3 linked regions of the Danio rerio genome follow. The protein of the gene in region 1 interacts with the protein of each later gene in a pairwise test. Links are inferred from orthologs where the notes say so. Each region holds a gene or a part of one and is shown on either strand. Other genes may lie near its edges.

Region 1 (4,646 bases):
TGTCTGTGTTTGTATGTGTTCAAGTATGCACAGCTGTTAGTCCTCAGCACATAGATATGGTGACGTTAATGCCCAGGTTGCCGTTCTCGGCAAACAGCTGAGCAATAGAGGTGTCAAACACCAAGCAGTCACTGTTCATGATGGCGGTGGCGATGCCCTCATGGATAGAACGTGGCGTCGCCTCCCAAGTGAGTCGCCGCCTGTGGCCGTTTAACTCCAGTCGGTAGGCGAAGTTTTCCGCTTGTTTCCGTGTGCCGATCAGTTGGACGATGGCAAAGAACTGTTGGTGGCCGTCGTATTTCTCCTGCTTCTCCAGCACAAGCATAAAATGGAAGCCGAAGCAGGATTGCATCATGACCCAGTCCACTGCTCCAGGCAAGTTGATGTCTGTGGCCAGGAAGACTATATCCTCACCTTGTAGTGTGGTTATGGACTTGTGCTGGTGCAGCAAGTGGGGCATAACGGCGTCGAGAGATCCCTGCCACTTGCAGGAGGCGCCAGGACAGGGGCAAGAGTATGGCCGGAATTCACAAAGCTCCTCGTGTTCAGCTTTGTCTGTGTGCGGTAGAGTGACTTCGCAGCCCGATGAGGCGTACTTGCAGGGGAAAAGCACTGAGTTGGCCACTTTCTCCATTGCCAAATTACGGATCGACCCAAGCGGGCCTCTGCAGGTGGGGCAGCAGGTGAGTTTAGGCCGGCAGTTGCTACACACCAAATGGCCGCTCTGGCACTGCAGGATGGGCGGCAACACATAGTCGAAACAGACCGGGCACTCAAACAGGCTGGCGAGGTCACTGTTGGATGCTGTGGTGCCCGACAAAGTTGGAACGCGCTGAGAAGGGGGACACTTAGAGGTTCCTGTGGGCAGCGCTGTGGCAGTCTGGCGACTCATTTCTACAAGAGGAGACAGAGAAGAGAGTTAGACTGGCTAACACAGATGGCCAAAGGTAATGGATTTGCTTGCACTTACAAGGAACAACAATGAGCAGGGGTGTGTTTCCCAAACAATGAAGTATAACACGTAGCTAAACCACCACAGTACGAGGCATCATTTGGGAAATAAACTATGTAGTCACAAATGTTTTACAAACTCTGTTGGAGATTGTCTGAACCAGGTTAGGTAAATGCAAAACTTCCATGATGATCAAGGGGCAATTGCTTTATCTGAACAGATGCCACTGCTGCATTAAGAGTAGCATAAATGTTTTCATGCCCATTTCCACTGAGTGGTACAGTACGGTAAGGTTCAGTATGGGTCACCTTTAAGGCTCGTGTCTCTACTGCCAAAGAGTACCAATGGTACTCTTCTGGTGGACGTGGCGTTCGACAGAAACCTGCAGTCGACGTCATTCTTGATTGAATTCACATATCGTAGGAGAAGCACTCCTTACTAAACAAATGCTATTTAAACATATGTGTATTACTGCCTTTCTATGAACAGAATTTGATTAAAGCTGCAGATCAATGATAATGTGAAATAGCCTACTGTATCATCTGCGGTTGTATAAAATAAAACAGTTATGAACACATACAGACCCTTACAGTCTCTAAAATGTTACCAATTACAAATAAACAATTCCCCAAAACTTACATTTAGGCCTTATTTGTGTTCATAAACGATTAAAACAAATACAGTCAGTCCAAACCTCTCATCTTATTTTTCACCAGCACATGTAATGTTAACCTCTTGTAAAAAAGTCATTCCGGGTTCATAATAATCCAAAAGGTGATGATGATGGTTAAACATGGCAGATTGTTCATGTTTTACGTTGCTGAAAGAATCACTTGCTCCTGTTTTTTCAAGTTTCACTCTGGTGTTTGTCCGTTTCTGAAAGGATCAGATGTCAGAAGCACTTCAATAATGACGTGCACGTTATTATCATCATTAGCTCAAGAGGTTTATTTCAAATACAGACGCGCATGCGAGCTCTCTGGAGAAAGTGAAACCACTCGTGCTTTAGGCGACCTCGTAACTAACAGGACACATGTAGATTCTGCTCTTCTTCTTGGGTTTGTGGCTGTTCATTAAGATGAAGAAAAGGTTCGTTTCAGGTTCAGATTGTTATTGTTATTATTTGTATATATTTATCATGGTGTAATGTCTCAGCTATGTTTTTTGAAAATGGCGGTTCCTTTGTTTTTGTTCTCCTGGCTTGTGCACGCGCTAGTGACATTTCTCTGTAAACCAATAGCTTTAGCTGCATGTCTAGCTGTGATTTTTGGTACCCTTTTGTTGTGCTAGGTACCAATTTTTTGCTTTTGACAGTAGAAATGGCCATAAAAGTGTACTGGCACTTACTGTACCACTCAGTGGAAATGGGCCATTAGTGCACTAAGCAGAGACCACAATTGCCAGTCAGAGGATCGTTAAACTAAAACTAAAAAATTCTTCTGTCTGGAAATTACATCAAATGTGAACAAGAAAACTTTAAGCTTTCAAAATTACTCAAATTGGCTGACGTGTGTGGAATTAATAGGGTGATAACTCAGAAAATAACAGCAAGGAACTATGCTACCAACAGGCCTAGAGGTGTAGTTCCAATCACTAAAGATTGTGCTAGTTTGTGAATGTCCATAGGAAGAAGGAATTCAGGAAACACTGATCACACAGAAACACTGATCAGATGGCATCTAATGCACATGAGCACCTCTGTTTCCTCAACATGAATCAATAGACATTTTAAAACGTGGCCTCAGGATAAAAGGTACATCCAGATTCTGCTGATTCAAGCAGCATGAACTTCAAATAGAGCTATGAAAGAGTCTGAGCAGCGCAGTGTGCCTGGCAATGTCTCTTCTCCCTCAGTGGCTCAGATATAGCCATCTAGTGGCACCGATAAGTCAGACGTGGGGCTCTGGGGAAGCTATTTTTGGCATGAGTAAAATGCACAGATAGTCATGCATTGGCTTTTTTTCTTTAAAGCCAGACATGGAGAGTGGACTCAGAGGGCCAAGGCGCATGTCTGCTACAGGAGTGTTCCTATGGCAACAATCTGCAGAGCAAAGTGTAAATGTGTATGGGACGACCTGTGGAGAGAAGTATAGGATTTGCAATGGATGCAAGATAGGAGCGTGTGACCCAGCTGTAACACCCTACCGCTATATATAACCTACATCTACACAGCAATCAATAGGAGGCAAAAAAGTATCTGTAAATCAGCACAGGGGAGCAAATGAATAAGACTGATTGCTGATTTAACACTGACATCAATTAAGCGAGGAATAAAGAGACTATAAGAAAGGAGCAGCGTGGCAGGATCAGAGCGCAGTAAATCGTCTCGTGTGGGAGAACCAGGACCGTGCCAGAAAGCAGAGTGGGGGTGCGGACAGACAGTGAGCTGTGTGTGTATGTAGGTGGCTTAGAATCTGCTAGTAAACACATCTGCTCTGATAAAGCCCCAAGTATTTTTAGCCTCCTCACGGAGCAGCTCTCCGAGTATAACAACTGAGGCCAAAATTAGCCTGAGCACAACAGCTAGCACCACGTCCTCAATGCCTTTCTAGGCTTGTAGTCTAGGCTTGGTGGATTTGAAAGGTTAACAAACAAACATAGTTTTGCTTCCAAGTGTAGCACTGCTAACCATAAAAATGGATGTTGAACAAGATTTACACATGTTCCTGGATCAAGATTTTAGGGAGATGCAGAGGCATGTGTTGCATTATAATTTTACAAATGCATTTATCCAAAGTGACACTGTATTAAACAAATATATTTTTGTAAGTCCATAAAGACCAAAGCCATGGTATTTATGTTGCTAGAATAAAGTAAGATATGGTAAGATGTGTGGTTAAACACCCAGACAAAACCTCTATTTGTTTTATAACTGTAAAGAAACATTTTACAGGCGATCACATGTCTGGAGGAGCTCTGTACTGAAGCATTTAACTAAAACCACAAAGAAACACACTAGAACTAGTATAACAAAGTTCAAACTAGCCTACTTCTCTACTATTTAGTATGTGAAGTGCATAGTGCTTTCAAACGTGTAGTAATCGTAAAACAGTGGGGGAAAATTGCCAGAATGGTCTACTACTTTCACTGAGACTGTATTACACATGGAGGAATTTAAAGGTAAAAATGGCAAATATAGTAAATCAAAATTCCATTCATACAACTCGCATTTAAACTATACAAGTCTATAGTTCAATATTATGATCTAATGTTTATTTTGTGGTTTCAAAGAACATTGTTGAAAACAAAGCTGAAAAAACTTTTTCATAATTTATATGCGCACAATACTACACGCCATTACGAGGATGCAGACACAATCATGAATAACAGCATTGTGAGATGTTGGCATCTGGAAAGTACAATGTTTACGCAGTATTTAATTTAGTGATATTTATTTAGTTCTATGTTGGACCTGTAAAAAGTTGTTTATTTAAAAGCGTTTAATATTTTATTAATATAAATTTTATATTTCTGGATTTTTAATCAAACACTTGCCCTGAAATTCTAAATAAAGTGAGTCAATTTCTGAGAGTAAAAAATAAATTGTCCTTCACAGGTTTTCAATATATGTATACAGTGGTTCCTCGCTATAACGAGGTTGATCTTTTTGCAGATTTTTCTTTGCAATTTCACGTTTTTTTTCCAGTACAGGACAGAATGTGTTCACCAAATTAACAATAATATTCAAATCGCT
Region 2 (4,809 bases), on another chromosome or scaffold:
TCAGCTCCAACCCTGATCAAACACACCTGAACCAATTAATTAGGACATGGACAGCACTTGATAATTCCAGGCAGGTGTGTTTGATATGGGTTGCAACTGAACTCTGCAGGAAGGTATGTCTCTAGGAACAGGGTTGAGCAGCCCCCTTGTATTAGATACTTAAGCTAAAATAATGAAGCAGATTTTCTATTGTTGTTAAACAAGGACTGATTCGTTAAAGTTATTTAAATTGAAAATGTTAATGAGATCATAGCTTAACAATGATTTAATGGTGAAGTTTGTAGTTTCTGCAGTACTAGGGTTAGATACTTTAGCTCAGGGGTGGCCAACCCTGTTTCTGGAGAGCCACCTTCCTGCAGATTTCAATTGCAACCCATATCAAACACACCTGCCTGTAATTATCACGTGGTGTTCAGGTCCTAATTAATTGGTTCAGGTGTGTTTGATATGGGTAGCAACTGAAATCTGCAGGAAGGTTGCTCTCCAGAAACAGGGTTGGCCACCCCTGCTTTAGCTAAATAACAAAGCAGATTTTCAAACCATTTTTGTGCTCAACTCTCCCTTATATGATAATTCTTGTCTTTATCGTATGTTACTGTTTCATAGAACATTTTGAGGGATGTAAACAAAAACAATGGTCCCAATGTATTTCCTGTTTTACATTTTTAAATTCTATATCTTCTGAGAATCAAAAATGAGCCACATATTGATAAATAACGTTATGATAGCTGTTTTAACATTAAGTAATGATTGAATTGCCTCTTGTTACAGTTATGAAATAGTGTGATAACAAGCAGGGTTGCCCAATGACATGACCACACTGAAATGGTCTATATTCTGTAATAAAGGCTTGTAAAGTTTACCTTATCTGTGAAGAGAAACCATCCCTACTGAAAAAAACAGCTTAAACCAGCCTAGGCTGGTTGACTGGTTTTAGCTGGTCGACCAGCCTGGTTCTAGAGGGGTTTTGGCCATTTCCAGGCTGGTTTCCAGCCTTTTCTAGCCTGGGGTCCGTTCTTCGTACCTCGCTTAAATGATCTAAGATGATTTGGCAGATCCTGGATCTTTTAATCTTGATAACTGATCTCTCGCTAATTTGGTTCTTCAAACGAGTTTGCGAATCAGATTAGAATGTCTGGATAAACTGATCTGAGATCGCTGAAGGACAGATCTATCGATCCTCGAAATCATGATCAGCAATGCAACGATTGGCTGACGGCACAGCAGCGTAATGACATCATCTGATTAATATTCAATTATCCATGTGAGCAAAATGACATCAAATTAGCAGTAAACGGCTTGTTAAATATGACACGCAGTAACTTCACATTTGTTGTGAGCTGCAATTTCCACTTTCATGTGTCAAGTGTATTCATCATGTATTTCAATGCAAATCAATGTATTTAGTTCCACATTTAGAAAATATTTTCTTTATTATAGTTGCCGTTTTTTAATCGGCGTAAAGAATAACTGGTTGTTTACAAAAGTATTTTCATATTGGTAAAGGCAGCTGCAACTTTTGTGAAGCATCAAAATCACCAGCATATTAACTTTCAAGTTTATGACTGCATAAATGTATTATTGCTTTAAAAAGTCACATATGTGCATTTTTATTATACACAATTTGTACTAAAGCGATCTAAAAAGTTCATATCAATAAGTTTTCTCTTTGCACCACCAGGTGGCAGTTGTACTTTCATTTCGAGGGTGCAGATTGCATACGTTTAATTAATATGTATAACTTAATTCATTTTATTAATGACTATAACTTTATATATATAGTTTAAAAAATATGTACCATTTTCCCAAGTGTATATAACTACTACTGTAAGAAAATACCAGAATTCGGAACATACTTTCTGTATTATCTTTGCTTGAACTGAGCCGATCTAATCCTGTTTATATGATTTGAACCTGCTCCCGATCAGGTTTGACCTAGCAGAACTGTTGCTATGACAACAACTCTCGGATCAGCTTCTAAGAACGAAACGATCCTGGATCGTGTCAAATCGTCAACATCCAAATCCAGCTAATTGAGTAATCCACGTACGAAGAACGGACCCCTGGTCTTAGCTGGTTAGGCTGGAAAATGACTAGCTAAAACTAACTTGACCAGCCTAGCCAGCTATGTCCAGCTTAAACCAGGCTGGTCAAGCTGGTTTTAGCTGGATTTGGTCATTTTCAGCCTGACCAGCAAAGACCAGGCTGGATATGGTTGGAAACCAGCCTGGAAATGGCCAAACCCCTCTAAAACCAGATTGGTCAACCAGCTAAAACCAGCCAACCAGCCTAGGCTGGTTTAAGCTGTTTTTATCAGCAGGGATGTACGTTAGGTGATTCAAATTAATCCATTCCATCAAACGTTTATCATTGTTTTACCTCCCATGTAAACAGTCATGGTCCCAAAATGTCTGAACTCTGAACTGACTCTGTATAATACAATAGCCACGGCCAAAACTCTCCCAATTGGTTGAGTTGGAAATTGATTGACAGTTTTTAAACTTCCCTTTCTCCCTCTTTTGATGAAGTCGGAGAGTCTGTTTTCAATTTTGGACCGATAAACTCTTTAGTAACATAATTACAAAAGTCACTGAACAATAAACTGCGTTAAGAGACTTTGTTTCGGACCAAAATGCTTATGCTGTACAAACTACTTTGGTCTTTTGTTGACGTTTATAAATGTTCGTCTCACTACTGCTCTCTGCAGGATCAGCAGTGTGCCTACAACACTTCAGGAGTAGCAGCCAGCTGTAGAGGCTATAAAGAGATTCCTCAGGGTAACGAGAGGGCACTGACCGCCGCCGTGGCCAATGTGGGACCCGTGTCAGTTGGCATAGATGCCATGCAGTCCACCTTCCTGTACTACAAAAGCGGTACTTAACATCTCTTCTACAACTATATTGCCTGTAGTTCCATGTTGTTTTGCTGATATGTGTATAATAAAAGTCACTAATAAAACCCAAAACTCACTGACAGGTGTATACTATGACCCAAACTGCAACAAGGAAGATGTCAACCACGCAGTGCTGGCTGTGGGCTACGGAGCCACACCGAGAGGCAAGAAGTACTGGATTGTGAAGAACAGGTGAGAAAAATATTTGTTTTTCATGAAAATATCACTGTTTAACATCATAAAATATTATTTAAAAATTACAGGTAATTTATACAGTAATTTACATTATACAGTCAAATAATTGTGTGTAAATATAATATAAAAAGACACCTTTTTTCTGTTTTTGAAGCTGGGGTGAAGAGTGGGGAAAGAAGGGCTATGTCCTGATGGCTCGTAACCGAAACAATGCTTGCGGTATTGCAAACCTGGCCAGTTTTCCCGTCATGTGAGAGCTGGAAGAACTAGATCAAACTTGTCTGCTGCTGACCAGTACCAAAAAAGGGACTCAATCACTATCACTGCAACATGAAACCATGCTTGGGGAAATGCTTTCAAAAAGAGGCATTTGATTTTAATAACACAAGGTTGTGGTCCTATTTTGTCTTAGATGTCTTGTTCTTTATCCAGCAGTAAGAATTGTTTTGTGCAATATTTGAGATTTAGAAGGGAAGTTTTGATATTGAGTATGCAGTCAGTTTATATTTGATTCTTTCTTTCCTTTTTTTATTCCCCTGGAGGGATCGGATCTCTGAAACACGTGTTTTATGATGTTTTGATTAAAGAAATTACTTTTTTGACCATTAATTCTGAGTGCATCACATTTGAGTACATCAAATATGTCTGATGTAAGTTTTTAAATTACACTAACAGACTGATAGCGAGACAGTTTCACATCTCTGTACAGAAACATTGTTGAAATAAAATCTAAACAATAAAACTTGAGTGCCAAACCACCTTTATTTTGAACTTTGAGATTTTGTCCTACAAGCTAAAGAAGGTTACGAAGTCTTCGGTTTTGTAGAAGTGGAAGAGAAACCACCAGATGGATTTGGGGAAGTTGAAACCAAAGGACGTCAAGATGAATTTTAAGACAGCACGCAGCTGAAAGAGCTAATCTGTGCATGTAATCTGATGTTCAAACAAAGAAATGATGACAGTTACATGTTAGTTAAAAAAGAATCTTATGATCATAACTGAACCACTTCCTCATGAACAGATGAGTGACCCAGCGTTCCCCTTTATAAATTTTGACGTTGATTCACTTAAAACTGATTAAGACATAAAATCTTTAAACAAGTGATTCAAAAATACAATTGATGTAGATTCTGATGTATATAGTGTATTAGAATAATACTGTTGTGTACAAATAACAAGTACACTTTAAATGTAAACATGAAAAAAGCAATATGATAACTGAGATACCTAAAAATGACATTATTACATAAATGAACATATCAGATACACAGTGCTCAGCATAAATGAGTACAGCCCATTTAGAAAATAATTATTTTGTTTCCATTTCTCAGTGAATAAAGGTAATATATATATTGGTGCATTTGAACAACACAGATTCATTAAATAGATATTAAATACATAAAGTATATATATAATAACGTAATATTTTAGTTACCATATTCGGAAAGATCATACATTTAAATTCATGCTAAATATTGCAAAAATAAATTGCAAACTACAAAATTTCAACAAAATTGTACACATTTGTTTGTTGTTTCTCTTGATTTTAGCTATTTTAAAAAAAATTATTTTATATTTTCTCTAACATAAATTTGAGCTACTAATTTTTGGACCGTGACCGTACGTTATTTTGCTAAAGCTCCAGATTTGGCTTTAGGACTTACTAATCTAATGTATATCCACAAATATAATATTGTAAAGAAAATATTATAGAAAATATA
Region 3 (4,646 bases), on another chromosome or scaffold:
TATTAAATCTAATAATCAAAGACACGAGTCTGTGTATAATAACAGATTTCACTTCACATTCATAGTCATTTATGTTTACATTTTCTTAAATCAAACATGTAGATTTATAATATCAATGTAATATTAATTATAAGGCTCTGCTTTATGTAATTAAATCATTTTATTGTTAATGTACAGTAAAGCCGATGAATCCATGGTGAGGTAAGTGGTGTTATAAAGTACGCTGCGCTCCATTTGAAGTAGTACCTGACTTGTGTCCTCGCGTCCTCTGGAGTTAATTCTTCCAAGTCGAAACTTGGCAAGTCGAAACTTCCAAGGACACAAGTCCGAACTTTGCGTACTTGGTATTGAGAAACAGTTAATGGTTGCGTCCAAAACCGTATACTTCCATACTATATAGTACGCTAAGATCAGTATGCGAGCAGAGTAGTATGTACGAATTCGTAGAATTTAAAACTCAGTATACGAGAAGTACTCAGATGACCTACTACTTCCGGCGAGATTCTGGAGTGTGCATCCCATGCATGCTGCGCTATCCCATGATGCCCCGCAAGATAATTCATGAATGGGAGTGAAGTGACGCAACTGACGCAGGTAGGTCACGTGACCATGACAAAATGGCGGATGTATTACGTCCGAATTCCGTTCATACTTTTCACATTCATACTGTATAGAACGTACTTTTCTAACGGCTGAGTAGTACGTTTAAAAACAAATGCAGTACCTACTGAGTAGTGGGCGGTTTCAGATGCATCCAATGTCTATTTGTCAATATTTTTGTCGCTAGGCAACCACTGAATCAGCTGAGTTTTGCGCACGAGTGTTGCTGTTGATATTGTTATAATTGTAATTTTTAATATTGTGACATTCAAGATCTGTGAGTCATTCAGCACTGGCTAACTCGAAATAACAACCACACGTCTCTCCTCCATCTTCAAATGTCTCCATAGTCATCATGACAACACAAACACTGCAGGCACCTCGATGGAAATCCCGCCTCTGCTTTCATTTGATTGGACAATGAAACAGACGCGACTGACGTAACGCGCTTTTCCCGCTCAGAGTTGACCTGCGAGCACACAGAGCGCAACAGCAAAAACTTGAGGAGCAGCAGGCGGTTAAAGGACGAGGTGCGCAGGTTCATCATCAGCATGCAAAACGCTCGCGGCCGTTAGTAAATCATTCAACGCAAAAAACGCAATTGGTGTGGTCGGCCCCTAACACTGAAAGCAAGATGCATTAGTGAGCGCTTGTTCTGCATGGCCAGCAGGAAGCCTGTGCTCTTACCTGTGTGTGCTGCGTGTGCCGGGGCTGTGTTTGGGGCTTTGGCCCAGGGGTTAGTCTCGCGGACGGGCAACGGTGGTGGCGGCAGCACAGGTGAGTTAGCTGCAGTGGTTACAGTGACGCTAGGCGGAGGGAAGGCAGGAACTGCGCCATTAACTACAGCAGCAGACAGGACCAGAAGATTAGAGACAAAGCCGGACACATACACACACGCAGGCGTTCACACACACACACACACACACACACTAGGGGTTGCAAAGACTAGCTGATTAGCTCTGCCACTACTCTACAGGGATGTAGTAATGAACCACACGCTGGTTTAAAATTGATAAACAGCCAACAGCAGACTAGTGAAGGAGTAAGCATTGATGTAAGCTGTAATATACACACACACACTGACCTGGAGCGGCAGGTGATTGTGGTGAGGAGGCTGGTTTGGGCATGGGTGCAGAGGAGAAGGGGTCTTCAGGAGGCCCGCTGAAGGTGGACGTGATCTGAGTGCACAGAGAGCTGATGCTGTCCACCTCACCCTCCACCTCCGGCACTGACACACACACACACAAACACACACACACACACACACACACACACACACACACACACACACACACACACACACATTTATATCATCTAATGAAAACTACAGCATCGTCACACAGACAGAAGGATGTCCCTTTTCCAGGCTGTTATTTTAATAGTAGTTGGTGCTCTAGGCTAGTTTTAAGAGTAGATGGCGCTTTAGGCTTGTTTTAATAGTAGATAGCGCTCTAGGCTAGTTTAACAGCAGACAACACTCTAGGCTAGTTTAACAGCAGACAACGCTCTAGGCTAGTTTAACAGCAGACAGCGCTCTAGGCTAGTTTAACAGCAGACGGCGCTCTAGGCTAGTTTAACAGCAGACGGCGCTCTAGGCTAGTTTTAAGAGTAGATGGCGCTCTAGGCTAGTTTTAAGAGTAGATGGCGCTCTAGGCTAGTTTAACAGCAGATGGCGCTCTAGGCTAGTTTTACAGCAGACAACACTCTAGGCTAGTTTTAAGAGTAGATGGCGCTCTAGGCTAGTTTAACAGCAGACGGCGCTCTAGGCTAGTTTAACAGCAGACGGCGCTCTAGGCTAGTTTAACAGCAGATGGCGCTCTAAGCTAGTTTAACAGCAGATGGCGCTCTAAGCTAGTTTAACAGCAGATGGTGCTCTAAGCTAGTTTAACAGCAGATGGCGCTCTAAGCTAGTTTAACAGCAGATGGCGCTCTAAGCTAGTTTAACAGCAGATGGCGCTCTAGGCTAGTTTTTAATTGTAGATGGCGCTCTAGGCTAGTTTTAAGAGTAGATGGCGCTCTAGGCTAGTTTTAAGAGTAGATGGCGCTCTAGGCTAGTTTTTAATAGTAGATGGCGCTCTAGGCTAGTTTAACAGCAGACGGCGCTCCAGGCTAGTTTTTAACAGTAGATGGCGCTCTAGGCTAGTTTAACAGCAGACAGTGCTCTAGGCTAGATTTTAATAGTAGACAGTGCTCTAGGCTAGATTTTAATAGTAGACAGTGCTCTAGGCTAGATTTTAATAGTAGATGGCGCTTTAGGCGAGTTATTAACAGCAGACAGTGCTCTAGGCTAGTTTAACAGCAGACGACGCTTTAGGATAGTTTACCAGCAGATGGTGCTCTAGGCTAGTTTAACAGCAGATGGCGCTCTAGGCTAGTTTTTAACAGTAGATGATGTTTGCCCCATGGAACATTAATCCGCATCGGTTTCTGTTTTCCCGTTTGAATTGACTTGTATGCAATTTAAAAGTGTAACCTAATTCCGTGTTTGGTGTGAACAAGTTGTTTTTTTTAAATATGATGAAAATGTAGCTGCTGATGGGGCATTACCAGTGTTTTTGATGGGGAAGTCAGACTTGCGCTGCATGGTGGAGGGCAGCTCGTTCATGCGCAGCGACATCTGCCGCTTAAAGGGCGATGTCTTTTGGCTGAGCGCCGGGAAGCCCCTGAAGGAGCCTTGGCGAGCGAGAGCCTCCACAGGAGCGTGCCGGCGCGGGATGACATGAGGATTTCCGTCCTGCAGGCCCAGCGGAGCCATGGGCAGAGGAGGAGATGAGGAGCCATTGGGGCCCGCCAGAGTCACCACCACTGGGTTACAGGAGCCGCCGGAAGAGCTGCTTATCACTAAATCTGAGTCTGAGAGAGAGAGAGGTTATTGTTTTTATAATCATATTAGTCATTTTCCTATTTCTGTATGTATCAAATTTTTTTTTTGATAATGTATCTATGATATACACTCGCCGGCCACTTTATTAGGTACAGCTCTTCAACTGCTCGTTAACGCAAATTTCCAATCAGCCAATCACATGGCAGCAACTCAATGCATTTAGGCATGTAGTCAAGATGGTCAAGATAATCTGCTGCAGTTCAAAGCGAACATCAGAATGGGGAAGAAAGAGGATTTAAGTGACTTTGAACGTGGCATGGTTGTTGATTTCAGAAACTGCTGATCTACTGGGATTTTCACGCACAACCATCTCTAGGGTTTACAGAGAATGGTCCAACAAAGAGGAAATATCCAGTGAGCGGCAGTTCTGTGGGCGCAAATGACTTGTTGATGAGGCCAGAGGTCAGAGGAGAATGGCCAGACTGGTTCCAGCTGATAGAAAGGCAACAGTAACTCAAATAAGCACTCGTTACAACCGAGCTCTGCAGAAGAGCATCTCTGAACACACAACACGTCCAACCTTGAGGCGGATGGGCTACAGCAGCAGAAGAGCACACCGGGTGCTGCTCCTGTCAGCTAAGAACAGGAAACTGAGGCTACAATTCACACAGACTCACCAAAACTGGACAATAGAAGATTGGAGAAACGTTGCTGCTCTGATGAGTCTCCATTTCTGCTGACACATTCGGATGCTCGGCTCACAATTTGGCCTCAGCAACATGAAAGCATGGATCATCCTGCCTTGTATCAGCGGTTCAGGCTGGTGGTGGTGGTGTAATGGTGTGGGGGAGATTTTCTTTGGGTCCATTAGTACCAATTGAGCATCAACGCCACAGCCTACCTGAGTATTTCTGCTGACCATGTCCATCCCTTTATGAGCACAGTGTCTCCATCTTCTGATGGCTACTTCCAGCAGGATAACGCAGCATGTCATAAAGCTCAATCATCTCAGACTGAACACGACAATGAGTTCACTGTACTCAAATGGCCTACACAGTTACCAGATATCAATGCAATAGAGCAGCTTTGTGATGTGGTGGAACGGGAGATTGGCATCATGGATGTGCAGCCGACAAATCTGCAGCAACTGTGTGATGCTATCATGTCAATATGGAGGAAAATCTCAGAGGAATATTTCCAGTAGCTTGTTGAATCTACACAA

The links. The genes of interacting proteins can lie anywhere in the genome.
Region 2: the proteins of siah1 (region 1) and ctsk interact in a two-hybrid assay, tested with the Homo sapiens proteins (2 studies listed by BioGRID). The link is inferred for Danio rerio from reciprocal best matches to the Homo sapiens genes SIAH1 and CTSK.
Region 3: the proteins of siah1 (region 1) and numb interact in a two-hybrid assay, tested with the Homo sapiens proteins (2 studies listed by BioGRID and IntAct). The link is inferred for Danio rerio from reciprocal best matches to the Homo sapiens genes SIAH1 and NUMB.

Annotation. Positions count from the first base shown.
Region 1 is NC_133193.1:19,853,165-19,857,810, reverse strand, and holds part of siah1 (E3 ubiquitin-protein ligase Siah1), read right to left. Parts: intron 895-4,646; coding exon 44-894; 3' UTR 1-43. UniProt on the Homo sapiens protein: E3 ubiquitin-protein ligase that mediates ubiquitination and subsequent proteasomal degradation of target proteins.
Region 2 is NC_133191.1:32,638,230-32,643,038, forward strand, and holds the end of ctsk (cathepsin K), read left to right. Parts: intron 1-2,707; coding exon 2,708-2,873; intron 2,874-2,976; coding exon 2,977-3,085; intron 3,086-3,242; coding exon 3,243-3,342; 3' UTR 3,343-3,847; downstream 3,848-4,809. UniProt on the Homo sapiens protein: Thiol protease involved in osteoclastic bone resorption and may participate partially in the disorder of bone remodeling. Displays potent endoprotease activity against fibrinogen at acid pH. May play an important role in extracellular matrix degradation.
Region 3 is NC_133192.1:57,926,335-57,930,980, forward strand, and holds part of numb (protein numb homolog), read right to left. Parts: intron 3,454-4,646; coding exon 3,148-3,453; intron 1,829-3,147; coding exon 1,685-1,828; intron 1,441-1,684; coding exon 1,288-1,440; intron 1-1,287. UniProt on the Homo sapiens protein: Regulates clathrin-mediated receptor endocytosis. Plays a role in the process of neurogenesis.